Linked DNA regions of Coturnix japonica. The main gene of each other region encodes a partner of the protein of the gene in region 3 in a complex. Links are inferred from orthologs where the notes say so. Each region holds a gene or a part of one and is shown on either strand. Other genes may lie near its edges.

Region 1 (6,824 bases), on a different chromosome or scaffold from region 3:
GCCTGATGACGGTTTTGTAGCGCTGCCAGCGGGCGGAGCTGAAGCAAATCCGGCTGTAGGAAGGCGGCAGCGATGGGCTCAGGGCTGTTACGGCTCAGCCGGTCGCGGTGCCCTTAAGCACAGGCCCACGGGGCTGAGCGCACAGCGTTAGTAGGGCAGTGGGGCAGAGAAAAACACCGCTTAGAACATGCCGGTCTGATCCGGAACCGGTTCCGTTGCACTGAGAACTACGGAAGATTTAAGTGCAAACGTTGAGGGCATGGGGAACAGTGTGACTTTAATGGGGAAAATAAACCCCCTGAAGCACACAGGCCTTGTAACCCACACATAGAAGCAAAATAGAAGCAGGGCGCTGCATTATTTCACTGCCATCATTAAACACAGATGTGAACCAGGAATCTCAGACCTTCAAACCCTGCACTGTGTGTTATTCAGCTCAGGGCTGTCACACAGCACCTCTCAGCTGCGTGCAGCTCAACCAGGGGTTGGTGCTATTCCCTGTCAGAAAACCTGCTTGTTCTTCACAGCTCAGAGTGCTACAGTGACAGGAGCTTACAGAAGTATAAATGTTAAGAAAATAATGGATTACAGTGTAATTAATAGTAGCACAAGTTGACTTGGGGGGAAGATAGCACAGTAAGATGGGGAAAAGGCAAGTGAGGTTCAAGAGGCTTGAAATCACAGACTGAGATTCAGAATAACGTGGACAGAATCTTGCCCAATTCTTACATTAGCAAAGAGTGGTTAAGCATTTTTACCATTAAAAAATGATTATTGTTAAAAGTGGGAACTGAAGGTTAACATTCAGTTGAATTTTAAGATACTGTTGTTGAAAGCATTCAGTAACAAGCCCAGAATTGAGTGTTTCTGCTTGACCCCAGCAAGGAAATGCCTCAGAACCCTCCTGTGCTGAGCAGTGAGGCTTCAGCTGCACACAGGGATTGTACAAATGTCAGGAACAAAGAACCCCCCCATTCACTCAACAGCCCGCTTCCCTCCTCCCGCTGCCGCAAAGAAATCACCGCTCAATACCAGTTTAAGTATAATTTGAAGTTTTAATACTAAAGATCTTCCCATTTCTCTGAAGCTCATAGTAAGCCTGCATGCTAACTCACAAGGCCTGACAGCTGCAGACACATTACACTCAAGCCTAGTCTGCACATATGCAACAGTTACGGTGCTGCAAAAAAGCTTCCTACACTGGTGGCAGAAGCTCGTTAGCAACACCACTTGAGCAGAGCTTTGGTTAGCGAGATGCCCAGCTACACCATCACTCCAAGGAATCTTCTCCAAAATAAAGAAAACAAACTGGCCCTATGCTAATCAGACAAGGAAGAAGACCATTTCCAACTGCTATTCAGTAGCCAGCTTTGCTTTTCTTCCCCACCAAACAGAGCCTGCCATGCTAAGCGATCTAGAGCCCAATCAAGGCAAGGCTGGTTTGTTTTTAATATAAGCTTAAATGTTTAATCAGACACAGTTGAGAAACCTCTCTAGAATATAAAAACATTTGACATTCCATTAGTGTAAAGTTGTGCACATGTTGAGAAAATTGCCATCTGAAAGAAAATTCGGTCTTCAAATATCTTTATTGGAAGGCCATGCACTGCCTTCTGGTACTGTATTTCAAATCACTGTACATTTACTTTGAAAACACTGTCTGCATTTTCTAGTACAAAAAACTAAAAATTGTTTCAGGAATGTAGAGAAATATTCAACTTAAATAGCGAAAAAGTGCACCATAATTACTGCTGCACTGCAGTCATTTCTGCGCTTCCCATTTCTTAAATAACTATCCTGTTCTGAGATAACACACAATATAAAGAGCAATTATGAAAAACTGAGACATTTAAATACACTAAGTTATTGAGAATAACTCGCTGGCATTGGGTAACCTATCATAGGAGCAGCACCAGTGGCAGGATACGCATACTGCTGCTGGTTCATGCCATTGTGCATATTTGCAATGTTACTCCCGTACTGCTGATCATAGCCATTCTGGTAAGCTCCTGCAGGGTTACCGGCCCTGAAGCCAGCCTGCATGCCTGCAGCTGCAAAGCCATTTCCAAAAGGAGTTCCATTACTGAAACTCTGGGCGCTGTAGGCCCCATTCTGAGCTTTGGCTCCAAAGTCTCTCTTTCCTAGTGCACCATAAGTTCTCTCAAAGTTCTCCCTCTCTCTAAAGCTACTAAATCCACCCCTTTTGCCCGCAGAGTATCTGTCACGTCGGTCACCTCGGGAACGACCTAGTAAAGAGACAAGACAAGTAAGATATCTGATAGATATCAGATAGACAAGAGCAATCAAGGCTGCATTTAATTAGCATCTGGTGAGTTCAACTCATGAACATTCTTTTCCTTTGTCAGCAAGTCAAGTCTACTGAAAAGGCTTTCCAGTTTTTAACTGGACTCATTGGGCACAGAATTACATGAAGATTTACATTTACATGAAGCTAGAGCCCTTTCCCTAATGAAGGCAGGGTCATACACTCTCCCCTGTAATATGAGCAGTGGCATGAAGGAAAGCTGCTTTGGTCTCACCAATAGGAGTTACATGCAGTTATCTCCTAACTGTAAGAGGAAGCCAAACAGCTGAGCCTCCCTGCAAGATGTTTTAATGCAGAACACATGAGCCTGAAGCCCATCTTTGACATCAGCAGCCACAGCTCACAAGATGCTCTACAGCACAGCATTGTGAGGGCAGGTTTTGCTCACAAGCGTTTTAACACCTTTGGAGGTCACCATAACTGGCAAGTAAGCTGGATATGAATCCATTTTTGAGAGGCTAAAGATTGCCAGTTTGTTCTGAGAGAAAAGCTGTGCATCGTTAACAATAGCACTCACCTGAACCTCTGTCTTCAATCAACTGAAGCAACTTAGGGTTGATGGCTTGATTAGCCTCCCGAAGCACAGAGATGAGGTCATTTACTTGCTTAATATTGTTAGGAGTAAAGAATGTATATGCTGTGCCTGTTTTGGTACTGCGGGCAGTTCGTCCAATTCGGTGGATATAGTCCTCAGAGGAGTTAGGGTAGTCATAATTGATGACAAATTTCACATCTTCCACATCTGTAAAGTGTTGCAGTGTGGCAAAAAGCGAGGTACAAAGTTTTGCACACCACAACAGCCAAATCGAAGATAAACGTTAGACAATAGTACTTTCAATGAAATAATGGCTGCAAAGAACAGTGTTAGAATTATCCATTTCTGCACGAATATTGTGGAAGAGGAAGATATGCACACTCCGTCTGTTCCCGTCTTATCACCCACCCTGTGATCCAAAACCTTACCATAAAGGAGTATGCATTTGCTTGTCATTCCCAACTCAAGAGTCCCCTTTACAAATCATCAAGTGACATCTGAATGCTTCTTGCAGTAGGGCCACTAAAGCTCACAGCAGCCTCTTCATGTGCTCATTTGAGGACCTTAGAGTAAAAACATACAAGGTCCTTCACATACACACTCATTAGAAGCTCAAAAAAAATGGGCCACACTGCTCGTCTTGCCAAGACCTTTGAACTGCAGCTGCAAGAAAAACATACCTGTCCCCCAAAAGTCACCAAGTTGTTTTTATGCACTGTCTCGTCTAGGCAAGCACTTCCAAGAAGCCAGCGTTCACTTGAGAATGTGTCTCTCTCTGGCAGGTCTCGACATGACGACTACATATAGGTGGAGGAACTTCGACTTTCAAAGGCATTTAGAAAAGCCAATGCTTTCCTGCCCCACTTGCTAAGGTGAGAGGTGGACTTTTGCTCAGATTTCATGTGCCAGTACTCACCAATTTGTACAAGGCTTAGTACGTTTTAAAGCTGCTCTCTCCATTTCATGGTTAGAAAAAAAATTTCACTGAACATTCAAGATTTTTCTTTTCCTCAACATTTCAAACTCACCGAAATTCAAAGACCCACAGATCACAGCAGACAGTATGCACAAAACTAACAGTACTGCACCATGGCAAATCATGCAAAGCATGGAGAGAAGAGAAATACCAGGGCAAAGTGAACTGTGAATGAGGCTGCTTATTTCATGAGAGAACAGTTTATGGGGGAGTAGTTTAAAGGATGAACTTTGCCTTTTGAAGATTACTGGCACACAATGCTCTCAGTTTTCACCTCTCTATTTGACTGGAAGCAGCCAGCCGATCACTTCCACTAGTCCTCCATCCCCCTCGAGTCCTCCGATTGTCATGCCTAGGCCTTGCCACAAAGACTGCACCTTTATGTGAAGAAAACTTAGAAAAATGCAGAGGTTAAAGAAAGCAATAGACTTTCTTTAAATAACTTTGGGCAACTGGCATTACGAGTTGTACTAACCTAGACCTCGGGATGCAACATCTGTAGCAATCAGGATTGGTGCTTTTCCATGTTTGAATTCTGTAACACAAGCAACTCTTCATCAGTCTCTTTGCATCAAATACCAGATAGACAGCAGCCTGCTTACCAAACTGCTGAAATACTCACCATTTAGAACCCAGTCTCGCTCCTGCTGGCTTTTATCACCATGAATACCCATTGCTGGCCATCTGAAAATACAGAAGTTGATTAACCTCAAATAATTGAGTACTTCCATTATTATGACAGCTACTGGGACATTCTCAACAGCTTCTGGATTTAGCCTTTCAGCTGACACCTGGTCAGACAGCTGGACACCATCACAGGTGGTCACTAATTAGACCAAGCGTGCTCTTGATTCTTTTGGGGTGGATCATTTAAGTTCGTGCTTCAACTTACCCATCTCTCCTCATTTTCCTGGTAAGATCATCACAACGTCTTTTGGTTTCCACAAAAACAATTGTCTTATTTTCCTTCTCACTCATTATTTCCTCCATCAAACGAATAAGCCTGTCATGAAGAGATAATGAAACATTCACTACCCACACTGTGCAATTTCTTTCCCCTTTTAACATGGAGGGCTTCTAGCAGTATTAGATTAGCATTTAATACCCACTAAACTCATCTCGGTTGATACAGAAGTTAAATCAACCGTCAGAAACATACTGAGTGTTTTACCTCCCCCAGTAACTACTCACTTGTCGTCCTTCTCAACGTCATGACACACATCAACAATCTGCAGGATGTTGTGGTTTGCACTCAGTTCCAATGCACCGATGTTGATGTGGACATATTCTTTTAAGAAGTCTTCAGCCAGCTGCCTGACTTCCTTTGGCCACGTGGCACTCCACATCAGAGTCTGCCTGTCAGGCTGGAGAGAAAGATTTTATCAGTACAAAATTAACATATCATTAAGTAAAACATAAACACAGAAGTCTACCCAGAAGTCTGAGCTAACTGCGCTATCCTTATCCTTGTTTTAACAAACACTGCTGTTTCTGTAGTACAATTAAATGCAGCTACCATCTATACTCACTCTTATCTGATCCACAATTTTTCTGATTTGAGGTTCGAAACCCATGTCAAGCATTCTATCAGCTTCATCAAGCACTAGGTAAGTGCACCTCCTGAGGTTGGTCTTCCCAGCTTCTAAGAAGTCTATAAGTCTTCCAGGTGTTGCAATGCAGATTTCCACACCTAAAAAAATTACAAGAAAAAAAAAAAATCAACCAGTAAGTCAGATAAGCAGTTTTCGCATCACCTCACACAGATGCATCCAGATTTATCCTTACCTCTTTCTAGATCACGAATTTGTGGTCCCTTTGGAGCACCTCCATAAATACACGTAGACTTCAAGCGACATGCTCTGCTATATTCAGCAGCTACTTGCTGCACTTGCTGAGCCAGTTCCCGAGTTGGTGCCAGCACAAGACACTAGAGGTAAGATGCCCAGATTTAGTTCCATAAATGCAATTTCTAGTCTTACATTTTAACTCAGAAAGTTGTTATACACCACTTCAATGCCAGACTGACTGAAGTAGAACTGAGTATCTCAAACCAAGTAAACAAAGTTAAGTAACATCTCCATTACTAAACACAAGCCAGTGATGTGTGATAAAATACTCAAAATTCACTGTAGCTTCTAGTGGATGGCAAGTTCCAAAATGGAAGAGCAGCTCTGTTCTGTAAAACTTTATAGAACCGTATCAGAGCTTATGGGCTGTTCCTGGGAGACTAGAAAAAGAGAAACCCAAAACACCACACATGGGCCACTTTAAAAGGTTTCCATGATTAAGAACTATGCACTCCTATTAACATGGACAATTAGACTGTGAGAAATCCACCTTCTCTAGCAGCTAAGGTCCTCCTTCAGTTCAGAATACTTACAATAGGTCCATCTCCTCTCTCCAGGAATGGCTGATGATTTATATGCACAATAGCAGGCAACAAGTACTGTTCAGAAGAAAAAAGCCACATTATAGTTTCTTCCCAGGAGCTCAGCCTGCCTTACACCAGGCTGTACTTTCATTGCTGGATTTCAGCAGTACACCACATCATAATCACAACTTACAGACAGCGTTTTCCCTGATCCAGTCTGTGCAACTCCAACCATATCCAATCCACTCAGGGCAACAGGCCATCCCTGTGCTTGAATAGCAGTAGGCTCAGTGAAGTTCTGCCTCTGAATCACCTCCATAACATTTGCTTGAAGAGAAAATTAGAGCTTAACTCACAAGTTGTAAATCAAGACAGGAAAAAAATAAAACAATATGTTGGCCAGCACTTACCAGGAAAGTTAGCTTCATAGAAGTTTATGATTGGTTTTGGACAGTTATGGCCCCTCACTGTGACTTCTTTGCTTGACCTGTACTGCTCAACCTCTTGCTGCAAAAGAAAAACCTCATTACTGGAAACAGCTTTGGCACGGAAGTTAGTGAAGTTACTGCACGCTGGGTCCCATGACCTTAAGCATGTTTGTGCTTGTTTACTTCTG
Region 2 (8,323 bases), on a different chromosome or scaffold from region 3:
TCAGCACTCAAAGCTCATTTTGTGGGGCTGAACTCACTTTTCCTTTCTGCTCTGTGGTTCACTTCCAAACTGAAGCCTAGCCCATGTCTCAGGCCACAGCCTGGCCATATACATGTGTCCCTATTCAGGAAGGACAGTGTGAGCCCCCACGCCAGCAGCTCTGTTTGTTTCCATCAGCTGGGGCCTAAAGTTGCTGCCACTGCCTGGATAATTACAGCACTTGGCTGTTTCCAAAACAGTGGCTGCTCAAAATCCCTTGACAGCGCGAGCAGCCGCCTCCTCATTGCAGCTCATGCCATGCTTTTTCACATAGAAAGGAGCAAAGCATTGAAGAGACCCACAAAGCCATCCCACACAAGAACAGGGAGCTGACGTTCCAGGGCTGGGTCAAGGCGAGCAAAGACACCGAGCCAGCTTTACAGCACTTCAGGAAATTGAATTAACAGCAGACTGGTCTAATTGTGGCTAATCAGTGATGTCACTGATTGGGAGAAAGGCATCTGCACATGCCAATGTCACGCTGAGCCCTCTCAGCACCTCTTAAACAAGAGCTCAGCATTCTCAGTTCTACAAGGAGCTGTCCCAGGGCCTCCCCACCCACCCCTTATCAACAATGTGAAGAAAAAACAAATCAGTTTCTGGTTGTAAGGGAGGAAATTACATACCCTGCACATCTATGGGCATCTTTTGCGATGGATCCTGCATTACAAACAAGCTTTTATGTATTCATAGAAGGGGTTTTAACTACATGTGGTCAGGGCTGAAGCAAAGGGCCAAGAGATTGGCATGAGGTCAATGGGAGATCCAAAAGCTGGAATGCCAACTGCTATTCCTGGAAACCGACATCTACTGTTTCTACATGAACACACCTTTTAAACATAATACAGAGGGGAAAGAAGAATCTATGGTTTTGAAAGGGTTCTATAGCAAAGGCTGCTGTGTTTAGAGGTGGCACACATAGAACCTGTAGTCAGGAAATGCTCCCCAGAGTTTGAATGGGGGCAGATGAGAACTGAGTGTGCGATTAAAACATTGCTGCTCTGGATCAGCTGCTCCCCAGCCCTTACCTTCAATGGGTGTGCAGTGAAACGAGTGGGCTATTTTGTTCCACGCGTCTGTCACTTGTGTATTCTGGATGAAGAACACATGTAAACACATTAAGGGTTTAGAAATCAAACCAGAAGCACGACTGTTAACTTTCACCTGGCAGGGTTTGGTGATAAAACCAAGTGGTGCTCTGACACCTCCAAAAAAAGGAGGAATGGTGGCAGGCTTCCATTTTTAATCCCCCATCAATAAAAATAACGTGGAACATGAGGTCAGCTCAGCCTCCTGCACTGCACCCGGTGCCTTCTCACACACCATTCCTTTAGGAGGTAACACAGGGAGCTTGAGAGCAGTGCTGGAGGTTACTGTAATAGTAACATGGTGCTGAAGGGGAACGCCTATGGCTGCTGAGGTGTCTGAACAGTGGGCAAGGAAGAGCTGAGCATGGCACAGAGGGTCAGCTGTGTGCTCAGAGAGGATGGGAAAAGCAGCACTGCTCCTCTATGGGTCCTTACAGGGATCCAGAGCTGCTGCTACCCACCCTGGTGCTCCCAGGAGCACTCAGCTGTCTGCAAACAGCTGCCTTCAGATTCCCCACATAGATGGGCCATTCTTCCCAGGCGATGTCACAGGCCTTTATATTTTTATGCACAGCCCATCTTTGCAGAGCTCTCCCTGTATCAGGGCACACTCACACACCCTGTTTCCCTCACCTGGTTTCCAGGCTTTACCAAACGCAGCGCGGCCTCAGCGCAGAGATGAGCTGCCTTGATGACATCAGCTTTACGGCCTGACACAGGTTTTTCCTGAAAGAAGAGGAAAAATAAAGGCTTGTAGGGAACAACTCCTTTTCCCTCTTATCAGCAAGACTGCCATTCTGGCTGCCTAAAGATAGAGATACAGTGTGTGGGATCTAAATGAGAGCAGGAGCACTTCTGGCTTCCCAGCTCTGCCATTAGTCCCTTCCCTTGTTAAAGAAAACCTGTGGCCAACCTACCTTTGAGGCATCTATGACAAAACTGTGTGCTACATTTGCTATGAAGCCATCGACGTGGACTCCCAAGTCACTGCAACACAAAGAGAGTTAATTACAGGCGAGGCCTAATGGCTCGGGAAACTGGTGTGACTTCTCAAAGCATTCGAAGATGCAGGTATATTTAATAAAGCTTGACTCGATTAGCTGCTATATTCTGTAATTAGACACGTCGAGGAAGTACTTAACACAGCAAACAGGACTAAAATGCAAAGCCTGGATGCCAAGAGCAAGCATTGATGCAAGAGAAACATAATGAAGATGCTTACATTTTGACCAAGTCTCCATCTTTGAGGATGTAGTCCTGGTCACTCTTCAATGGGGAGAAGTGACAGACACAGTTATTTACTGATATACTCGTTGGGAAGGCAATACCTGTAAAGGAGAAAGAGAATAGTCCATGAAGACACAGTACAGGCAGTGTGGATTGTCACTAAGTTTGAGCTTTGGAAAGCTAAGGTGCCCCACTGAATAATCCCTTGGTGAAACAGCACGAGGAGAGCAGTGTGTGGCACTCTCCTGCCCCAGCAGCTATCAAACAAATTGATCCTCAGCAGTAAGACGTGTACAAAAGGGACCCCAACTCTCCACACTCAACTCAGTGACACACTCAAGTGTCACACTGTTTATATGGCAGCTACAGGTTGATTGCTGAGCACAGGGCCGGCCTTGCCCAAAGGAAGGACACTGTTATCCAAAGTAACTCTTTTATTTCAGTGAGTGGAGCATTGAACTGGGAAGCACCAGCTCAGCAGTGATGCTTCCAAGCAGGACAAGCTGGACGAGTTGGGTTTCTGCACTGCTGCCCACTCATGTCAGCTCAGCAGGATCAGCCCAGTGACCCACGTTGGTGTGCAGGCCTCACCTTTTTTCATTTCTTTTTCCTTCTTGAAGATTTTGCCCGTCTCCTCCATGATCATGGCATCTCCCTTCTCACACAAGCACAGAACCGATGCTCCCGAGTTCGCCTCCTCGACCACAGCACGTAGGACCCCTGTAAAGCAACGCAAGACATGGAACACGTTAACCAAGCTCATCACACAGCACCAAGTCTGCTTTGTTAATGACTTTAGTCTTCATCCTGGATTCAGCTTTGCACTGAGTGAGCTGGAGATATGCAGAGAACCCATTTCAATCCATATTGCCTCTTGAGAACCAAGGCAGGAGCAAACCAACTTATGCTGGGACGTGCACAGGTGAAGCACTGCAGCCTCACGAGGTGCACGGAGGGTTGGCACACAAAGGAGCTGAGCAGAAACACTGCTCTCCCACATTCCTTCCGCAGCACTCAGAGCTACAGGAACAGGTTTGAAAACTGCTTGGGAGACGAACAGCACATCAAAGAGCAGAGGGGCAGCCGCGGGCGTGTGGGACCAGGAGGAAACCGCCCTTACTCTGCACAACTGTGTGTGTACGGCAGCGCTGCACCCACACTGGGGCATATTGTGGTGTGTACAATTAGTAGTTGGCTGCTGGGATGGGTGTCAACGTGCCTCTATAGAATGAGGGGAAGGATTGTGAGCCCAGCACTGCAGTTATGCTTCATATTACTTCAGTAATCTTTCCACAGGTCCCAGATGTTGGTGAGGAATATAAGAGGGAGTGCTGTAATAAAGACCTTTAGTTGATAGCAAGGGGCTGAAAGGTGAGAACAAGGGGCATTATTATCCTTACCTACCTAAGGAAGGGTAGACAGAGAGCTGGTGTTTGTCACACTAAGCAGGGAACCCCTCTGAGCTGCTCTGTGTCCCATAGGCACCACTCTACCAAGCAGGGAAACCCTCTGCTGTTAATCGAGCTGCATTCAGGGCAGCAACAACAGCGCAATGACCCCATCCCACCCCGGGGCTGCGTTGTATGTAGGTAGTACGGCCCCTATAGCCCCTCCTGAGAGGATCCCACGTCCTTATGGCTCGGGGAGCACCGTGAAGGGGCCAAGAGGGAACGGCTGTGGGCAGAAATAAACGAGCAAACAGCAGAGGGTTGGGGGGGGGGACAGGGCAGTGTCCATGTAGTGTTCATGGCAGTGATCCCGGCAGGAGGAGGGGGGGGGGGTGGGAACAAAAGACCGGGGGGGCTCCGTGGCCTCGTGGCCGAGCCCAGCACTCGTTTATACCGGGAGGAACCGATCGGATCCACTCGGGACGGGGGAAAACCGCGTGGATCCCGCCGGGCCCGGCCCTGCCCTGCCCTCCCCCCCCCCATCCCGGTGCACGTGGGGAGCGGAGGCCACGTGCGGTTCCCCACCCCTTAACACCAGGATCCGGCCCTTCAACAGCCGCCATCGGTGTGTATTACCGGGACCACCCCCCCCTATTTACACACACACACCGTGAGGCCTAACGCCACGCAGCCCCCCCCCAGCCCTCAGCCCCGCGGCCCTGCACTCACGGTTGGCGATGTCCCCCCCCATCTTGTACTTGGTCACCACCAGGTCCTCGGCGATGGTCAGCTCGGCCGCCTCCTCCTCGGCCGACATACTCGGAGCTGCCGCCGGTGCCGCCCGTTCTCCCCCCCCCCGACGCCGCCGCCGCCGCTCTGAGGAGACCCCGGGAACGCGAGCGAGAGAGCGCGAGCTGAGCAGGAGCGCGGGCTCCGCGCGGGGCACGCTGGGAAGCCGAGTCTCCTCCCACTTTCAGGACTACATAAACTCCCGGCAGTACTCGCGGCAAGGCCCAGCTAAGGACTACCGTTCCCAGAAGGCAGCGCGGATTATCCAACCGGAAGTAGGGCCGGATGGCGGAAGTGAAGGACTTGTGTTGGGCCTAGTGGGCTCAGGTCGGGGTCTCAGCCCTTGGTAGGCCTTTCCTTTTAGCCCCTATATCCCCCCCATCACATCACACACCAGCAGCCGGTTCTATTCCAATCGTGTTTATTTTCACGTTAACAAACGAAACCCGACTCCCTCCCCCTTTGGAGCGGGGAGGTGACCGGAGTGCATTGAAAAGGCCTCTATGAGGCCTACGGGCACGGCTCAGGCCTGCCCCATAGAGCCCCGTTGGGTGCTGGGGTAGCGCGGCCTGCAGTCAGAGTTAGCCTTCAATCCAACCCCTAAAGGAAGGAAAGAAGCAGGGCCCCCATCCACGGCAGCTGGGAGGACCCCAACCCCACAGGTAGGGCCCCCAACCCCAAAGCAGGGACCCCAACTCAAAGCAGGGACCCCAACCCCAAAGCAGGGACCCCAACCCAAAAGCAGGGACCCCAACTCAAAGCAGGGATCCAAACCCAAAAGCAGGGACCCCAACTCAAAGCAGGGACCCCCGCCCCCAGCCCTGCACATGGGGAGCACCATGGGGAGGGGGGATGCTGGGAATAGCCCTGGGGTATGGCAGTAATGAGGGGAGGACCCCAACCCCACAGGTAAGGCCCCCAACCCCAAATCAGTGGCACCCCAACTGAGTAAAGCAGGACCCAAACTGAAAAAGCAGGACCCCCAACTGAAAAAGCAGGGACCCCAACTGAAAAAGCCAGGATCCCCAACCCCAGCCAGGACCTGCTGCTGCAGCCCTGCACATGGGAGGCACCCATGGGGAGGGGGTGCTGGGCATAAGCCTGGCGGTATGTGCAGTAATGAGGGGAGGACCCCAACCCCACAGGTAAGGCCCCCAACCCCAAATCAGGGACCCCAACTGAAAAGCAGGGACCCCAACTCAAAGCAGGGACCCCAACCCAAAGCAGGGACCCCAACTCAAAGCAGGGACCCCAACTGAAAAGCAGGATCCCCAACCCCAAAGCAGGGACCCCCAACCCCAGCCAGGACTTGCTGCTGCAGCCCTGCACATGGGGAGCACCATGGGGGGGGGGGGTGCTGGGAATAGCCCTGGGGTATGGCAGTAATGAGGGGAGGACCCCAACCCCACAGGTAGGGCCCCCAACCCCAACCCCAAAGCAGGGACCCCAACTCAAAGCAGGGACCCCCGACCCCAGCCAGGACCTGCTGCTGCAGCCGTGCACATGGGGAGCACCATGGGTAGGGGGGTGCTGGGAATAGCCCTGGGGTATGGCAGTAATGAGGGGAGGGGTCCAAGCCCCCCCTCCCAATGGGGGGTTCAGAATCAGCCCCAAACCCAGGCAGGGCTGCCCTCCCCCCCCCTCAATCCCATTCTTCATGTCTCCCATGGGGCTTTGTCTCACACCCTCCATCCAGCACCAGTGTAGGGGGGATGATCCTTCATATCCAGTGTAAACAGCTGAGGGGGGGGGGTCTCTAAGTCCGCTGGGCATCCACCTTAGCAAAGAGGCGGCTGTGCCAGTAGTCGGGGTTGTCGAAGGCACAGTCTGAGGCCTCAAGGCTGCGCAGGGGCTTCATGCAGGTTGGAGGGGGTCCGGGGGGGCTGCGGCAGCCGGGGCAGGGAGGGCCACGGGGGGCCAGCACCGCCTCCATCTCCTCATAGCCCTGCTCCTCAGCTGGGGCCGGGGTGGGCTCCCCAGGCCTCATGTCAGTGTAGCCGTCGTGTCGGGGGGGGCAGCCCTCATGCCGGGGTCCCAGCCCCCCCACCATGTTGCCCAGCGAGCGGCTCAGCCGCGGCTGCTTGTTCATGTACTCGTAGTCCTCCTCCTCCTCCCCACGGCCCAGGGGGGGCCCTGTGGGGCTGCCCAGCTCTGAGCCCACCTCCATGTATTCGTAGCCCAGCTCCTCCAGCGATGCTGGCCGTGGTGGGGGGGCTTGTAGGGAGGCTCCAGGCTGCCGGTTCATGTACTCGTACTCCTCGTCCAGCTCTGGTACTGAGCCCCCTGTGGGCTCTGGTTCTGTGGAGTGGAGGTCAGACAGTGGTTGTGCCCCTCCAGATCTCCCCACTCTGCACATAGGACTGGGGCTGAGTCCTGGGGGGGCCCTGCTGTGCCAGGAATGGGTTTGGGGAAGGGGTTTAGGGAAGGGGTTTGGGGAAGGGACCACCCAGCCAAATGCTGAGCCCTCCAACCCCAACCCTGCAAAGATGGAACCCCAAACTCAGTTCTGGGAACAAAAACCCCCAACCTATGGGAACCCCCCAGATGCTCTGCAAGGAGAGACCCCCACCCACATCCCAAACCCTGCTGGGAAGGGACCCTTCACAATTAGGAATGAGACCCCCAGAGCTGGGACCCTCACCCCGTCCGGCGCAGCTGGGTGTGACGTAGCCATTGGCGTCCTCCTCGCTGCCCTCAGAGCTGGGGGGTGGGGGAGGGAAGCTCTCCCTTTGGGACAGGTAGGCACTGTCCCCCCTGGAGCGAAGGCTGCGGCAGAGGCTGCCCGACAGCGACAGCCCCTCGGCCAGGTCCAACTCTGAGGCCGTGCCCCGACCCTCGGATGATTCTGATACCGTCCTCCCCACAGATTCCTGGCGGCTGCGACGTGGTGGACGGGTCCCAGTGCCCTGTGGGACATGGCAGTGATTGGGGGGGGGGTAGCCCAGCCTACAGTCAGAGTTACCCTTTAATCCAACCCCTGCAGGAAGGAAAGAGAAGCAGGGCCCCCATTCACGGCAGTTGGGAGGACCCCATAGGCCCCCCAATCCCTCCCACCCCTGAGCCCAACTCCAATGCAATGAAATAAAATGAATTGAACTGAGATGAAATCCACTGCAATGCAATGGAATGCAATGCAGCCCAAACCCTTTGCTCGTCCCAACCCCAGACCCTTCTCTTTCTCCTCCCTACCCCTCCAGGTACCTGTCGGCTGCCGAGGCCAGGCTGGTTCATGGGGATGTATCCAGCTGGAGGGCTCAGCAGGCTGGGGCTCTGTGGGGGAACATAGAGGGGGGTTGGCATCAAGCTGGGCCATTACCCACTGTGGCAATGGGGCTGGGGCCCCACTAGGGTGATGGCTTAGGGGAGCCACAGAGGACCCCAGACCCACACTCTGCCCCATACCCGTCACAGGACCCAATGCCCAGGATGCAGCCAAACCACATCAGTGGCCCCAGGGTTATGGGGTAGGAGGCTCACCCGGGTGCAGCTGCCCCGTGGCCGGGGGGGGCAGAGGCCGAAGGACACATCCAGCTCCTCCTCCTCCAGCTCCAGCGTCTCCATCTCATCCAGCTCCTTGTCGCTCAGGGTGGGGGGCTCGGCGGGCGGCACGGCCCCACTTTCCTGCTGTGGGGACGGGCACATGAGGGGCTGTGGGATCCCAAGGGGGCTGAGGGGGGGGGCTCTCACCCACCTTGATGACCAGGTAGCGGGGGGGGTCGCGTGCCATGCGGGTGAATTCATTGGCCAACTCCTTAAAGGTGGGACGGATGTTCTCATCGATCATCCAGCCTG
Region 3 (7,810 bases):
TGGACATAACTGGCCCCTAGTCATATCACTCCCCCTTTCCTGCAGTTTTCTCTGTTAACCTCTTGCTGGCTTTGAAATATTTGTACAACAACTAAATCACAAAGTCTTAGCAGAGACTCAACAGTCAGGTCTTTATTTTAAATGAACTTTTGCTCAGACTCCTTTGGTAAGTATATGGTTTGAAGTAGATCAGGGACAGACTGACAGCATGGCCCTTTTCTTACACTGTTCTAATTAGCTACAAAGCAGGTTCCATTGCTAATTGCTGAACGTTTTTAAAAAAATCCTTTCATATACAAAAAGAATACACCAAGTACATAACCAAAAGTGATATAAAACGTTTCTGTGTAGCTTGGTTAAAAGGGTCTCTGCGTATTGGCAGAACAAGTATGAAAAGAGCACCATTGATATAATATACAGTCAGACTATGTATCTGGTTTCATTGCCGCACTATGTCTACACACAGAGACACTGCCTCCGACACAGATGTTGATAATCACAGATGCATCTCTGCTTCCCTTGATCTGCTGAGCATCTTTGGTCCAACAGGACTCTCATGCAGGTGAAAACCCCACAGATATATATTTGCTATCTTAATTTGCTCTGAGCAACTTCACCTTCTCTATGATCCAGAAGTGACTACTGCAATGTACATAGAAGATGAGGGTCATAAGGGAGAAGGGTGAAGGAGCACATGTATCATCCAAACCACTGACAGCTTCTGGCATCAGTCTTTTTCCCTGAATCAACAAATGCTTCCCTCTCCTGCAAACTACTTTACATGGTTTTATTAACCTATCCTTTGCACAACAATATATATATAGATATATAGATTTATTTATTTATATATATGTATTCATGTCAATTTTTAATATACTCATGGAGATAGAAAGCTCTCGGTACTTGCTTTTTTTGTGTGTTTTTAAATTTTTTTTAAATTTTTTTTTCTTTTTTCTTTTTTTAACAAAAACTTCTGACGTTTACTCTTACAGTAATATTTTGGGTGAGGCAAGGGCGTTGGATATTTCCCCTTTTTAATTATAAAGGAAATGGCAGGCACTGAAAACCCCAAATGACATTTGCTAGGCTCAAAAATGTGCTTTCCAGTCACACCATTTTAGGAGCTTATTTAGAATGAAATGTGGCAACCAAACAAAATCAGCAAAAGCCTTCTGATACTACTGGTGAGATATTTGGTTCCTATGCTCTTCCGCTGCCCTCCCTCGACCAATGCCTGGAGAAAAACCAGTGATCCAAAGTCACTTAGTTTATGGCATTATCAGATCTGTATATGCAGTGTATGTTCTCTGTTCTCACAAGGTAAAAATTCTGCCTTATCCAGAGCACACCATGGCATCTAAGAGGAGAGCGTTTGTACACGGATGATTTTCGTACCACCTAAAATATGTAACCTCAAAACAAAATCAAGGGAACGCAGAAATGATGATGATTTTAAAAATGTCTCATCTGTTCCCTTTATGGCATTTTCCATCAGGATCTACAACCCCAAGCAAACACGGATCCAACAGTGATAAATTTACCAGCAAATATAAATGACAGACTCACCTAAAATGTATAGTATGTTCAAAATAAGACATCCTGCTTCTATTTCTTCCAATGTGTTAGCAGCTACAGCAAAAGAAATTGTTAATTGTCATCAATGCAACACTGGTACAATTAAAATATAAAAGCTCCTTACTGCAAACTTTGAGATTAAGAAAATAAAAAGCCAGCCAACTCCATTTCTCAGCACACATTTCTGAACTGGGGACACTAAAACCTTCATGTGGAAATAAAAGCAGAGCCATTACAGAATTCAAAAGGCAGAAGTACTGTACATCAGATTATAATGATAATATAGCACTGTGATTGATATAGCTTACTCTAAAAGCAGATTTATACAGCTTGCATTGATTCTGTTATTTACTCTCCAGTTCATTTGACCAGCATTTAGTATTTTTTTGTTCTGTATTTTCTTTCTTTCTTCACTGAAATTCAATAAACCCACTCAACATTCCTGCAATTCCTGCTGAAATAACAAAGAAAACCTCAACATTTTCCAAAACGCTTTAAAAATGTTAAGATTCACAGCTCAAAATAAACCCCCCAAAACAAAAAGAAAACAATGGGACCCAAACCATAAAAGTGCTATTATCTTCATGACTACACCTACGGTATCATTTCAAATACTCTGCAGTTCACTGTCCTCTTTGCTGCTGCATGACCTTCACTTCTCATTCTTGGCACCTTTCACACGTAAGAGTCACCTAAGAATGCAGCCAGTCAGATGGAACTTGGATTCTCTTTTCTTGCTTGCTTTATTCTTGCAGGAGTGGGAGGGAGCAGGAGGCGGCTGTGTCTGGTGGGAATGTAACTGACTGAAAAAGCAAACTGTCTTGCTGTAAGGCATGGTGCTCTGGGGTTGGCAATGGCAGTCAGTTGTGTTTTCTCCCTGCATTCTCTTAGAATCCGCAGCCTTGTCAGTGATGCAGCGCCCTCCAGATCGGAATGGCAGTGGTGACTGATGAAATCCTCTGTGTCAATTCAATGTTTTTTTCTCCCCCTCAATTAAAAAAAAATGTGGTTGAACTCTAGCCCTGCAAAATAAAGCCAGAACTGATTAATACCAGCAAGCGACATGGCATAGGTGGTGATCTCCATCACCTAGTGGTAGAACAATGAACGGACATCCCAATCTATCCCCGATACATGGGTCTGTGGAAAGGTCTGACTTGGAGAAAAGTGAACACAAACTTCATTCATAGTCCCACCCATATGCATTCACTGTCCAGCAAAACAGCAGGAGACAGATTAGCAGCAGCAGGAATAAAGAAAGGACAGTGACATTACTGAGGGACTTGGCTCACAGCAAAGGCAGAGAGCTAGAACGCGACAAAAAGGCGCCTTTCTTTAACAACAGAATAAGAAAGACTTGGGAAGTGGGAACTGTGCCTTAACGTTAATTGTGTAACCAAAACCACCCCCCGTTGCAAAGTAAATGTGTGCAGGCAGCAGCTTTCCTGCAGATGGGCAGGCCTTGTAATTGTAGGGAACTTCAGGGGACATCCATAAATAGAGAAGGATACACTTATTTTTTTAGTCTCAGGCTAATCCTTATAATGAGTCTGAAAGGGAAAAAAAAATGCTTGGAAGTTGAAACACACTATTTAATTTCATTCCCATGGCCTACCAGGAGAAATCTTCCACATTTTGGCTGACAGCCAGTCACTCCAGATACTACTGTGCTGTCCAGATATTTGACAGATTGTTTTTTAATCAAACAGAAGCGTTGGAGTGCATTTCATTAAAGACACAACGAATAATATAAATACCACGTTTTCAAATGTATTTTCATTTCTCTGAAAGGACTCAGTTAGCAGTTAGCCTTGAAGAGATCCCACAGCTATACAGATCATGCACAAGACAAGTTAATTACTAGCACCAATTACCATTAAAATGACCTACCATGCATGCAAATTAGACCCAGGAGTCAACAGGCTGGGGTTTAATGTCACGAGCATCCACCAGATTCACCGAAGCCCTGTTACTCCTGTTAATGTTTTTCCTATTTGTGTCATTCTGCAGCACAGGGTGAGGAGTTAAAAGCAAAACAGAGCGGATTAATCAACAAAACCACCAAACAAGTCAGCTCAAAGGAGCACAAAGGAAAATTAGTGGTGGAGAAAGAAACAAGATCAGCAAAGGCACAATACCAACAAGAGCACTTGCAGCAGCCAAAGGCTGCACTTCCCTGCCATCATTATTCAAAGTGTTTGGCCACTCTTGAGCCTCAAAGCCACAGTTATTGAACAGTTTACAAACTAGAAGACCCCAGAGTTCTCTTTCTCAGGACAGGGAAAAGGAAGAGTAGCAGCTACTCAGACTTTGCTCCAGCTGAAAATGCACCAGTGACTGCTTTTGAGTCATATAACAGGCTGAATTCAGACAGCCCTTTATCCCTAAAACCAGGAGGCAGCACAAACTATGGTGGCCACATTACTGAGGTGAAGTATTTTTTATCCCATTCCTTTAAACACAAAGCAGCTGCTCACTGGAGCTCTGGGTTGTGCTTCACACTGCGAGTTTGGGCTGAGCTATACGATTTTGGAAATCACTTCCATGAACTCTGAGTGGCAAAAATAACCAGCATTTGTCAACTCTTCTGCCTTAGCCTATTTTCTTGGAAAGACATTTTCTGTCCAGCTTGTACTGATCAACATACTTATGTCACTCAATGCATCTGATCTCACTGCACCTTCATAATGACACATTAGACTGTTAGGAGGGGAGAGAAAGTTTATAACATTAATACTGGTTCAAGCTGGGCCATCTCTTGTCACTTCAGAGCAACACTGGAGGAGGGAGCACTCACTGTGAATTCAGTAATCAGGTTGTATCAGTTGCAAAAAAACAAATGAGAGCACAACCACCTCCAAGTGGCAAAGTGAGAGTACGCCCTTCTGTCTTTGCCAGACCTTGTCAAGCAGAAATGTACTGGGAAGGTATAGACAGAAAGGTGATCACCAATGGATCACTTTAATGGGTGTCACCACACATCTGGACTTAGCAAAGAAGCTGCAAGATGACTAAACAGGAAAACAGTAATGGCTGTTCTTTTATCAAAGAGCTCTGAGTGGCAGAGGCTTCCTAAACAATCTACAGCCCTGATATTCGCTTATTTCTAGAACTGTTCAAAAGAGAAAAGGGGTGGGAAGTGAGCTACCCATTGAATCTAAGAGATCAGCAGTGTTTCAGATCAGCCACAATACTCCAGCCCATTTACTCAGGGCTCGCTGGTTCAAAACAGGAAGCCATGTTTGGCACTGCAGCATTGACACAAGACAATAAGCAATTCTATTGAAAAGTTAAAGTGGGCAGCCTCCAGCAGGATGCAGCCATACCCAGAGCTGGCAAACTGAAAAGGAGTGAACTGTGCTAAAAACTGCAGCTGGATTTAAGCCATTCTCCAGCATAAACCTTCACAGAAAGGGAGGACACAGAAGGAAATGCACAAACAGGCAAGTTAACATAGGCTGATACAGAAGGACGCCTTCTTGGTCCACAAATAACAGAAAGGTTTTTCTGCAAATCACATTTTAATTTCACTTCAATATAGTGTTTTTCTTTCAACTGACTCAAGTTTAATCATTTCTGGTGAACACAAATCCCCTGGATCTTCCGATATCATCAGCAACATGCTGAAGGTTATAACAGACAGCTTTTTACAGACTAACAGCAGTACTTCCTATCGCTGATTCGTGGTTCCCTGAATCTTTTTTTTCCCCTCAGAAATGACCTACCCAGGGGAAAACAGCCTTGTTTTGAGGCCAGGGAGAAGTTATGGCCACAGCATTGTTAGAAGCATTAAGCAACTTTTAAACAAAAAGATCTACTGAAAAGGCACAGCAGTGCAACAGAAATTAAACAGACTCCACTAAGATACATCTGCACACAACCCTCCAGGCAAAACACTTTGTGAAGAAAGACTTGTTGTTGTTGCTGTTAAATTAGAAAATGGTCTGAATTTGTTTTTGGAGGCGCACACTCAGAAGTACGAACATCTCTCCTTCCTCTCCACCTCCTTGGCCCACACCCATCGCCTGCAGTCAGGACTCTGAGTGAGTGCTGCTGAAATGAATGCTGCTCACCACGCTGCTCTGACAGATGCACAGGCTGACATGTACATCTCATGGTGAAAACAATAAAGCCGTGTGATGTTCTGAAGTGACCGTTCTCAGAATAAAGATTGAATGCAGCTATTCACTATAGGGCAAGGGAATGCTGCCTGAACAAAGTCCACAGAACAAAAACTTTATTTTTTTACAACCTCATTCATTTACAAGAATATACCATTCTGCACTTACTTCTGCACTGGAAAGCAGCATTTTGTTTTTATTTCTAGTTATCCAGTGCCAGGTTAGGAAATGGTGCTTTTATCTTAACATTGGGCACGCAAAAAAAGCAAAGACACCAAAAAACCCCTTTACAGCCCTCTAGTGAGTAACTACCCTGTTCCTGCTGAGAACACCAGGCTCTGTTTCTTCTAAAGGCACTAACTAGCATTCAGTAATAAGGGGAATCTCACTTTTAAAGGTTCTTTCTCAGAGGCGTCCCCTGTGTTATCGCTGGTCTTGTATTTGCGCTCCTTGTCCCGGTGATCGATGGTAGAGTATCCATCTGAGGAGGAATAATATGACAGTTAGGCACGAAACACAACAAAGAGCAAAATAGAGCTGATGCTAGCAGTATTCTTCAGCAAAGAAACAGGAAAACAGACCATCAAAACCCACAGACTTTGGCAGCCTGCTTCTCACATATGCTCCTGCTCTGAAATTTTACTTTCACCAGTTTAAAACAGAAAAGCTTTTTTTCCCCCCTATCACTGCCAGATGCTGGCACTCATTAGCAAGCAGAACTGTTTTCATCCCAACCTACTGCAGTTTTGTAGTGCGCCTAAGGAAAGCAGCAAGTTGTCATCTCAAGCCTTGTGGCTAATGAGCTCCAAATTCAGCTCCAATCTTGTGTTCCTTGCTTAGCAGCCTGATTAATTGGCTGTGTTCATTCTCTGAATGCTCTGCAGCATGTTCCCACTCATCCTGAGCCTGACTATTAACAGGACATAACAGTAATTTGAAATCGCCCCTTTCAGTGCACTGAGAAAAGGAGACTGTTGAGTGTGAAGAAATCTTGATGCAAACCCTGCTGTGCTAAGACTGCCCTTCATTCCAAAGCAGCACCTGGTGGTGCTTTTTCTCTTGACAACTAAGAAACAATATGAAAGCACGATCAGCACACAGAGGAAAAGTGAGAGAGCATCACGAAGACGCAGCTTTACATATTTCAGAATATACTCTGCTTTGAATCAGTTCCGCCAACACAAACCTGATCTTCCTGATGCATCAGATTTCCCTCATTATCAGTTACAATGAGATTGCCTCCTGCTCTGCTCTGACAGCATCGTAATCTGGAGTAAATGACACTCAAATCTGTATTTTCCTGTAGGCTTTTGTTTCTACCCATATAACTGAGAGATCATTAACATTTTCACATTCTGAAAACTGGGCTCTTAGATCCTGAGTAAGTTATCAAAATTAACTGTTTCAGGGGCATGAAGGAGACCTATACCGATCTTACTGCAACAATGCATAAATGCATTATTTTCAGTTAATATAATCTAGTTTATAGACAAAGTTATTTTCGTCAGTAGAAGCACTTAACATTCTTGGCTCGTTTATTCCTCTCACCTTTCTCCTTGTCTTCTCTACTGCTTTACCAAGTATCTGCCATTCATTCTGCAGCAGCAACATTCTTATGTCATTACAAATGACATGACCAAATGCCTTCTGAGTGTCAATCCATCTACGCCCTCACACAGCTCTCAACTTATAAAGACCCACAAAGAAGGAAGAAAAAGGAGAAGTCATGCCTAAAGACATGCAGGTATGAGAGGAACTTCTGAACTATGCATCTTTGTTTTCAACAATTCTCAGCTCTATAATGATTTTGGCAGATTGACTGCATCTTAACTAAGGCACAGGTACAGCTTTGGAGGACTCAGATTTGGCACGTAGCCTTGAGATCACAGTTCTGCCACTCCTGTAGACAGCTCAGGGTCACAGCCACCCTGAGGCAGCACTGCAACAGTAAGCATCACTGATCTTCAGATTACTCTGTGCAGTCTCCTGTCCAGAGCTGATAAAGCCTGACAGACCAGAGCTATTTCTGCACAAGGCTGTCTAGTGCATCCCACAGTAACTTATAAGACATGTGTTTCTCCATTTCCCAAGGTAACCAAGCTCTGACTAGGTGC
Region 4 (8,499 bases), on a different chromosome or scaffold from region 3:
CTGCCGCTATGGAGCAAGGGAGGCTGCTATGGAGCGAGGGAGGCTCTGCTGCTCTAAAGCAGAAGTGCCCGTTAAAAAAACCAACATGGCAAACAACCAACAAAAAACCCAAACTGTGGTTTGTAGGAGAAACCACAAGCTTTCTACCCATTTCTATTTCAGTGCTAACGTGGGGGTTATTAAGTGCTCCGCTATCAGCGTTGTGTGCAGTTGAGGACGGGGCCCTCCCTCCCCGCACAGCACACAATGGGCGCAGTATGGCTCTGCTGCGAGCTGCCAGCTGCGCGGCCCAGGGCAAAACAGAGCGGCCACACATCCCCGGGGCCAACAATTGCCCTCAGTGTACCAACACAGCGCAGCTTCGGCATCACACGCTGCCTGCACTGTGCACCCGCAGCAGCTGCCTCCAGCAGTGGGATGCACAGGGCTGTGCCCACCCGCAGTGCATGAGTGCTGCAGCCCCAAGTGCTGCTGCTCCCACTTGAGACCGTAGCAGCAAATGATCCCCCAGGATCTCCATTTTCCACAGCAAATGGAGCAGCTGCAGACCAGAGCCCTCTGCACACAGCTCAGCTCTCACCTGGAAGCGCTCTGGAAAGGCTGGAGGACCCGGCTGGGCACCTGAAATCCTTCTCACACCTCGACCATGACAGCCTGTATAGGTACTTCCTACATCTTGAAGTCAGCTAACAACCCCTTAATTGAGCACTACAGCACATCAATTAGCTCCATATTAGCTTGCTCAGAAATACTCACTTGGGCTGCACTCCCTGGCTCAGCACCGGTTCCTGTATCACAGGACTGTAACCCCTTCTCACAGTCCCAACTCCTCTCCTGCACAGTTTGCTTTCTTTCCAGCCCTCTCCAGTTAAAGCAAGCCCTTCAAGCTTTCATTCTCCAATACAGTTTTGCTTCCTTTGCTTTACAACTGTTCCAGGCTCACCCTTTCCTGAATGCAGGTGACAGATCAGATTCCCACAGGGGTTTGGGTCTGGGGCCAACCTTCCTGCACTGACACTGTGTGCCCCCCTCCCTCACTTCCCACAGCCTGACCCTGCTGCCAAGAGGCACCACATCTCCGTGCACCCCCAGGTCAGCTCTCATCTCTGCTGCTCTCCCACCCGAAATAAGCAATTGCATCTCAAAAATAAAAGAGCAGCCCCCACACTCAGCTGGCAGCACAGTACTTCAGCACGGACACAACATCCTGTACCAGACTCACAGCAGCTGCCCAGCCCAAAGCTGCTCATCTCACCCTGAGCACGTATCTGCATTCCTGCCTGGAAGCACAGCGAGCCTCTGCCCCGCTCTGCACTGCGAGCTCCAGCCACGCAGCAACCACTGCCAGGCAGCCGTCCCTGCACACAGCAGCACTCAGACACTGGCAGACAACCCCACATCCTATGGAAAGTTTTCCTGCTCGGCGTCAACACTTGAACTGGTTGTGCAGTGAACTCACTAAGTTCACTGTTACCTCATCAGGAAACCGAAGGAACATCCACATCCTTCACGCTGGATGTGGCTCCTGCACGGAGACTCTCCAAGGCTGCCAGCACTGGAGCAGCCAGGTGTGGGGACACAGCCCGCAGTGTGTGAACGCTGGGCTGATCTCACATTCACTTCCAGCTGTTTGTTATCATCCCCAACAGCGAGGAGCCTTTTGTCGGCGGGTCCAACTCTTCCTTCTTTTCCCCTAAGCAATCAATCAATCCCAGCCGTGTCCCACGGGGCGCTGCTCCTTCACGCAGGAGTTCAAACATCGGCGCTTCCTGTGGAACAGCAGATCCTTGTTGGACACAACAAGAGCCTTTTTGTGCAGAGCCAACAATGCTGCAGCTCCTGGTGAACAGCGGGGATTTGGTGACCAACAAATGATGAGAACCGGGCGTGATTTTGTAAAAATTTTATTTGTCAAAGGAAAAAAAAAAAAAAAAGAAAAAAATAAAAGAAAAAAAATAATAAAGGCAGCAGCCAATTGAAAGCCTACGTCATCTTTAGCTCCAATTTCCGCCTTGGAATTTAGAGAAACAACTTTTGGTGTTGAAACAAACCCCCCTTTTTCCCCATTCAACGTTTACCATCTACTCGTGCTGAATCCTTCCAAGGAGATCGCTCCAGCGTTACCTCTCCAGGTCCTCGCTTTGCTCCTTTTACCAAAAAATGACAAACTCCATCGTGCATCATAAGGGCTCCAATCGTCACAAATGGGAAAAGAAAAAGCTTTGGAATAGCCAATTGAGTTGAATAAAAAAATCCACACGAATGCGGTTTGGTTGGGGCAGGAATCCACTCCTACGTTCCTGGTAATCTGATCCCGCTCCATGAATCCTTGCCATTCAGCCTCCCTATCCTATCCACATTATGATTTGAATCCAATGATCCAGCTCCAAGGATTGGGATCCAGTGAGCCCTCTCCAATCCAAACCTTTATAACCAGCAAAACCAAAAAAGAGGAGGCAAAAAGTTAGATACCGCAATGAAAAAATAGGATTCTGGGGAATGATCAGTTATGTTTGCCATCAATTAATACAGATGTACAGTAATAACTATCAATTCCCCAAAACAAGCTTCTGAATGGTGATGCTATATCTTTTGTTCTCTTTAAGAAACGTTAATTATTTGGAGGAAACACTGCAATATTTACATATGTCAACTAAAAATGCCAACATACTCATTGCTCGTACGGTGGTGCTCTACAGCTTCTGTGGTTGCAAAAAATGTTTATGAAATTGGAAAAGTTTTACTGCTAAAGCTGTCACCTACTGCGCCTCTCAGCTACGGCCAGCACCCCCGGCTGGAAGGTAACAGAGGAACTAACTGCAGCTCTCAATACGGTGAGTCAGCTCTGAATTAGGCTGGGGAAGGGCTGACAAACGATTCCCAACCAGGTTCTCTTAGGATTTGGGTTTTTGGCTTTTTTCCCTTTCATTCTGATACTTAAAAGAAATGAAATAGCAACGCTGTATCAGTCACACAGAGGACATGCAGATTTTAGCAGTATTGATATTATACTCCCATTTAAAGATACCCTTGATCCGCAAGCGTGGAAGTACTGCGGGCCGTTAACGCTTGGAACCAAATGCCGCGGGACAAACCAATGCTCCCACCCCTGTCCCGGTTTACTCCTTTAAAAAAAGACTAGAATGGAATAAGGAATTACACCGGCAAGTACTGAGCCACAATTGCCAAGAGGGTTTTAAAGAACAGAGCAATTGCAGCCCGCAGTGACCAAGAGGTGCCTGAAGAAGTGACACGCAGGCGCACGTTCTCAATTCACCTGTCTCAGTATAAGGTCAATACTGCCAAGTTCATCTGTGACAATAGCACTTGGAGTCATACCATTGCCTCCATTATTGATCTGATCCTCCTCAATCCTCCTTTTGACAATCCTAAAATGATTGACATGTGCTCCACAATCCTTTAATCCAAAGCATTCTTAATCCATCTCTTCAGATATGTCTACAGAAAGACACACGAAAAGGCAAGATAAAATATAAGATCCCCCAGAAGAGACAAGTTAGCCACAAACATCCCAACATCCCCAGCTCGCATGAACCATAGCTGAACACTGAGACATTTACACAGCAATACCACAGTTTGAAGAGTGTTGGTATTTAACTAGAACTAAATTGAAACAATCCTGACTGACATCAATTAAAATACAGTTTACCAAAGACATGAGGGGGAATGTTGTTGTTACGGAGCAAATACTCACTAGGGATTTTACACAAGAATGCAATTCAACACTTCAGCCAATCTGAATAAAACAGCTTGAATTTAAAAAAAAATAATATTGAAAGACTGTACTGAGTAAAGGAAAACTGTGTACAACATGGGGTTCTACAAAAAGATCAGAGCTAGTGATCGCTTATGTACGAGATCGGGATCTGCTGTGGCGGGGAGAGTAGCGTGGAGATCCTCTGCTTCTTCTTGGGGAATAACTGCGGCTTCTGCTGTTGCTTCGACTACGGCTTCTGCTACGACTACGGCTGCGTGACCGAGATCTTCCATAGCTTGGACTTCTTGGACCATCAACTTTAACACGGATGTAGGCAGTTTCTCCCTATTGAATAGACACAACTTTCGATTGAAAGGTCTAGGCTTCGGGGCCATCGTTTTAGGCATGCTGACAGACTGCAGATATCTTTACTAAGGCACAGAAATAGACATCAAACTCTTAATAAAGTCTATTTCGTGACAAACTGACAGCAGACTCAGTTTAGCTGCTTCGTGTATTAACGCAATGATCACCACACATTCCTTACCTTCACATCCTACTGTTAAGCCCTTTGTATCCAATTCTGGCCAAAAACAAGTAAGCGTGAAACCTACCTCATGAGATCTAAACTTAGTGTTATCCAGTTTTCGCACAGCGTAGGTCATATCTTCCTTCCGTACAAACTCCACGACACCAGTTCCATCTCGGAAAACATCAGCATAACATACATCACCTGCTTCACGCATGTGATCCTTTAAATCCTGCCAACTTCCACTTGGAGGCAGTCCTGGATAAAAAGCAACACCTGGCTTTAAAACCCAATGGTGCGATCATATCATAGTATCACAGTCTCGTGCGGGTTGGAAGGGACCTTAGACATCATCGAGTCCAACCCCCCGCGATTTGAGCCTTCTGTGTAGCAGAGCGGCACTTCTGCCACTTGCGCCACAGGGGATTCGAACCCAAGGCCTCCGGTGTTGCAATTCCAGCATCATCCCGCAGCACACGAGCAGAACACCCTGCACACAGCCCACAGCATCCAGCACCCCTCCCCCATCCCGAGGCTTCGCAGGGAAAAGCGGAGCCGCGTCGCCCCCCGCGCACGGCAGCACGAAGGACCCGGGGGAAGAGAGCAGCGACTCACCCGAGACGATCACTCTGTACTCCGATCGCCGGGACGGGGGGCCGTATCTGCCCCGCGGGGCTCCGCCCCCTCCGCCGCCGCCGCCTCCTCTGCCGGTCCCCCGGCCGCTGCGAGGGAACTCCACGCGGAGGCGATACCCATCGTAATCGTAACCGTCCCGCCCGTACACGGCGTCCTCGGCGTCCCTGCGGGTCGGGACGGGCGGTGAGCGCGGCCGCGCCCTGCCACGCGCCGCCCCCCGCAGCGCCTTTGTTCCCAATACCCGCGGCCCCACCCCGCCCCCACCACCACCATCAGCACCACAACCACCATCACCGCCATCACCGCCACCCCCAGCGGCGGCACCGCGCCGGGCCCGGAGCGCAACGAGCCGAGCGTGTGTGTGTGTGTGTGTGTGTGTGTGTGTGTGTGGAATAGCGCGCAGCGGGAGCGGCGCCGCGCGTGGAGGAAGGGAGGGAATGGAGGGGGGGGGTATCGGCGCCCGGCGGAGCCGTTCCCGCCCGTGCCCCAGGGCCCCGCGGCGCTCACCTCGGGTCCTCGAACTCCACGAAGGCGAAGGGCGGCCCCCCGCGGCGGTTCTTCAGGTCGATGTCGCGGATGGCGCCGTATTTGTAGAACACGTCCTCGATGTCCTTGGTGCGGATGTCGGGGGGCAGGTTGCCCACGTAGATGCGGCAGTCGTTATTGCCGGCCGGGCCGCGGATCACGCCCCCTCCGGACATGCCGAGGTCGGCAATGGCTGCGGCGTTCAGGGGCCGGGGCGCGGAGCGCGGGCGGGCGGGCGGGCGCGGGGCCGGGCCGTGCGGACGGGAGCGGACACGGCGACTCCAGCAACCGCCGCTTCAAAATGGCGACCGCGGCTCCCCTCGCGCTCGCAGCGCGCACTGATCTCGCGCACTGATCTCTCTCACCCCGCGCCGCAGCACCGCCGGGCCGCGAGACCGCAATGCGTTCCGAGTATCCCGCCGCGCTCTCGCCCTCGCGCATGCGCGGCAGCGCGGAAAAGTAGTTCCTCTCTTTTGCCTTTCGCCTCCGCTGCTCCGCCAAAGCGGCTGTGGCCGCACAAGAGGCTCCGCTCCTGCCAGCGAGGTCGGGATGAACGTGAATATCCGCCTCCGATCCCCGCTGTCCGCACCGGGACCGCCGCGCTTCTTTCCGCTGCCGTCTCAGGGCGCCGGGCCGTGTGACGTCACTTCCGGTGCGGCGCTCGCGCCAAGAAGTCCCGGCCGGCGCTGGGGGTGTCCCACAATGCACCGCGCCGCTCGGGGCTCTTGGCGCCAAGGCGCGGGGCGTGGCCCGGCCCACAATGCACCGCGGGCGGGTCGGGCCGTGCGCAGCGCTGGGCGGGCGGGCTCGGTACTGAGCGTCCATTCCCGGCCGGTCCGAACCGATCCGTGTCCGCACGAAGCGCTGCGGGCGGATCCGCCCTGCGGCTGCACGGGGTGCACGGGGAGCGGGCCGTGTGGGTCCGTCAGCCGCTCAGCGGACACTGTGTGGGACGGTTGGGACGGGCTCGGTGCGGAGGCAAAATGGCCGCCCCGAGGGCACGGAGCGGGCACCGCGTCACCGCCCGCCTCAGGGGAACGCGGCGGGGCGGGCAGCGGGACGGCAACGGGATACGAATAAAGGGCAGGAACACGGCAGGGTGTGATGGGGACTGAGTCATGAATGGAACAGCAGTGCAAACACCGGGCGGGTGGGAAACGAGCGGAACTGGGGGCGATGGCGGGCGCTGTGTACGGGTGTGAGCAGAGCCGGCCTAAGGGCACAGCCTAACTATGGGCAGAACCTTCCTATGAGCACAGCCGAACTATGGGGGCACGAGAATAACGCCGTGCTGAGTTTGTTTTCTTGATGAGGTTGTAATTGATGTGAAGGCACAGTAACACACCGGGATGTTACCCTTGTTACTCACACGTCTCTGACATTTCTTCAGGCAGCAGATGTAATTTTGAACGTATAAATTGCTTTTAAGTAATGAGGGTGCAATTAGATGAGCCAGGCTTTGGTTTAACAACAAGAATTCTTTTGGCCTGTAGCTGCTCTGTGGTGACACAGAAACTCCAACATCCACTTTTCTTTCTTTAATACAGCATAAAGTCTTTGCCTGACCCATGAGGGCAGAGCAGTCCCTGCTCTGTTGGCTCACACTTGGCTGCCTGGACGTTGTGCTTTGCTTTGCAGATGTGGCAATGCATTGAGGGCTGGAAGTGGCACTGGGGCACACAGTGGTTGCCTGCCTGCATCCAGCACCGCTGAGCCTGCCTGGTGCTGGAGGGCTGAATCTCAGCACCACAGGGATGGGGAAACAGCAGCTGAGCATGGAGAAAAGCCATTATGCTCCTGAGTTGATGAGGGGAGTTTGAGGAATGTGTCCGAGCATTTAGCAGTGGCTGTTGTGCTCACTTTGTTTTCATTTGTTAATTCAAAGCGTGTATTCCTCCCACAGACAGTGACTTACAGTTAGAAAACATCCCATAGTGAAAACATTTTCATGACAAAGTTATAGTGTGCTTGGTTATTATCAATGCCTTTTATTTTTGTCCCTGTGGGTTAAAGTGCAGTAACGTCCTCTGCTCTAATGGTTTCTGACATTAGTGATGCCTGTGCTGCATTGCTGGTGCTTTAAAGACTGCTGTCAACCACAGGAGGATGTGATGAGCAAAGCCCACCAGCAGAAGCGGTGCTTTACCCACATACAGCTCATGGTTCTGGGGGATTTCCTGCATCTTTATGGAGCTTTAATGCTTTCCAGTGTGAACTGGTTGCAAAGACCCCAAACAAACTCTCCCCATGTCTGGAGAAAGCTGCAGCCTAAGCCTGGGAATGGGGTTTAATAAATGCTGGATGTTATTCTTAAAGGCGTCATAAGATAATGGTGAATCTGCCTGGTTTGCTAAAACCCTGCTGCACAATTTCTTTTGTGTGTTAATAGTCCTTATAACTACTTTAAATGATTGCCTTAATTGCTTTAATGAAGTGTCTCTTTATAGAATTATTGGATGTTTTCTTTCTCATTCCCTTGTTGAGCTCTGTGTTATCAGTGGAGCACTTAAAGCATGTGGATAAGCTGCAGAATGTTGGGTTGCATTTCCAGAGCTGCTTTTGGCTTTCTGGGAAAAAAGAAAAGATGTGTATGTGGAGAATCATTAAACATTAATTATGTGGGAAATAAACTACGAGGTAAGAAATGGCCAATAGCAAAACAAAGCCAAACAACACCAAAAACGTCAACCAGCTGTTGTAAAATGACGGGTTTTTGTTCTCAGAATGGAAGTGAAGACAGTGAAGACCCTGCAGGGCTCTGCACTGAGCTCATCATTCACTTCTACTGATGACGAAACAGAAGCGTTGCAGAGTGGTGGCTTTCCCAGGGCTGGGGTGGGAGAACCTGCTCCTAAAGCGCTGCAGAATTGGGCAGGGATTAATCCTGACTAATCACACTGTGCTGCAAAATAACAGCCCCTAAAGCCCTGATTGTCTGCGAGAAAAGGGCCGTTTTCACACAGCACTGTGAGCTGGAACAGTTACTGTAGAACTGAGCTGTGCAAACTTCCTGATCCATGACATTGGTTCTGGGGAGCTGGGTCTGCTGGCAGGTCAGCAGTGACACACAGACTGTCTCCATGGCTCTACG

The links.
Region 1: ARVCF (region 3) and DDX5 share a complex: the UniProt entries of both Homo sapiens proteins name them as parts of the ribonucleoprotein complex. The link is inferred for Coturnix japonica from reciprocal best matches to the Homo sapiens genes ARVCF and DDX5.
Region 2: ARVCF (region 3) and PA2G4 share a complex: the UniProt entries of both Homo sapiens proteins name them as parts of the ribonucleoprotein complex. The link is inferred for Coturnix japonica from reciprocal best matches to the Homo sapiens genes ARVCF and PA2G4.
Region 4: ARVCF (region 3) and SRSF1 share a complex: the UniProt entries of both Homo sapiens proteins name them as parts of the ribonucleoprotein complex. The link is inferred for Coturnix japonica from reciprocal best matches to the Homo sapiens genes ARVCF and SRSF1.

The regions. Positions count from the first base shown.
Region 1 is NC_029533.1:7,252,901-7,259,724, reverse strand, and holds the end of DDX5 (probable ATP-dependent RNA helicase DDX5), read right to left. Parts: intron 6,716-6,824; coding exon 6,619-6,715; intron 6,536-6,618; coding exon 6,402-6,535; intron 6,284-6,401; coding exon 6,218-6,283; intron 5,765-6,217; coding exon 5,623-5,764; intron 5,528-5,622; coding exon 5,367-5,527; intron 5,202-5,366; coding exon 5,029-5,201; intron 4,841-5,028; coding exon 4,730-4,840; intron 4,522-4,729; coding exon 4,460-4,521; intron 4,373-4,459; coding exon 4,313-4,372; intron 3,069-4,312; coding exon 2,844-3,068; intron 2,247-2,843; coding exon 1,864-2,246; 3' UTR 1,036-1,863; downstream 1-1,035. UniProt on the Homo sapiens protein: Involved in the alternative regulation of pre-mRNA splicing; its RNA helicase activity is necessary for increasing tau exon 10 inclusion and occurs in a RBM4-dependent manner. Binds to the tau pre-mRNA in the stem-loop region downstream of exon 10.
Region 2 is NC_029544.1:855,745-864,067, reverse strand, and holds the start of PA2G4 (proliferation-associated protein 2G4), read right to left. Parts: upstream 4,707-8,323; 5' UTR 4,560-4,706; coding exon 4,472-4,559; intron 3,075-4,471; coding exon 2,946-3,074; intron 2,456-2,945; coding exon 2,350-2,455; intron 2,115-2,349; coding exon 2,045-2,114; intron 1,854-2,044; coding exon 1,761-1,853; intron 1,318-1,760; exon of another isoform or gene 1,132-1,317; coding exon 1,068-1,131; exon of another isoform or gene 1-1,067. UniProt on the Homo sapiens protein: May play a role in a ERBB3-regulated signal transduction pathway. Seems be involved in growth regulation. Acts a corepressor of the androgen receptor (AR) and is regulated by the ERBB3 ligand neuregulin-1/heregulin (HRG).
Region 3 is NC_029530.1:842,426-850,235, forward strand, and holds part of ARVCF (armadillo repeat protein deleted in velo-cardio-facial syndrome), read right to left. Parts: intron 6,178-7,810; coding exon 6,086-6,177; intron 3,580-6,085; coding exon 3,478-3,579; 3' UTR 3,466-3,477; intron 2,598-3,465; coding exon of another isoform or gene 2,592-2,597; 3' UTR 1-2,591. UniProt on the Homo sapiens protein: Contributes to the regulation of alternative splicing of pre-mRNAs.
Region 4 is NC_029534.1:7,445,463-7,453,961, reverse strand, and holds SRSF1 (serine/arginine-rich splicing factor 1), read right to left. Parts: upstream 5,741-8,499; 5' UTR 5,585-5,740; coding exon 5,391-5,584; intron 5,048-5,390; coding exon 4,863-5,047; intron 4,506-4,862; coding exon 4,333-4,505; exon of another isoform or gene 4,064-4,332; coding exon 3,869-4,063; 3' UTR 1,889-3,868; downstream 1-1,888. UniProt on the Homo sapiens protein: Plays a role in preventing exon skipping, ensuring the accuracy of splicing and regulating alternative splicing.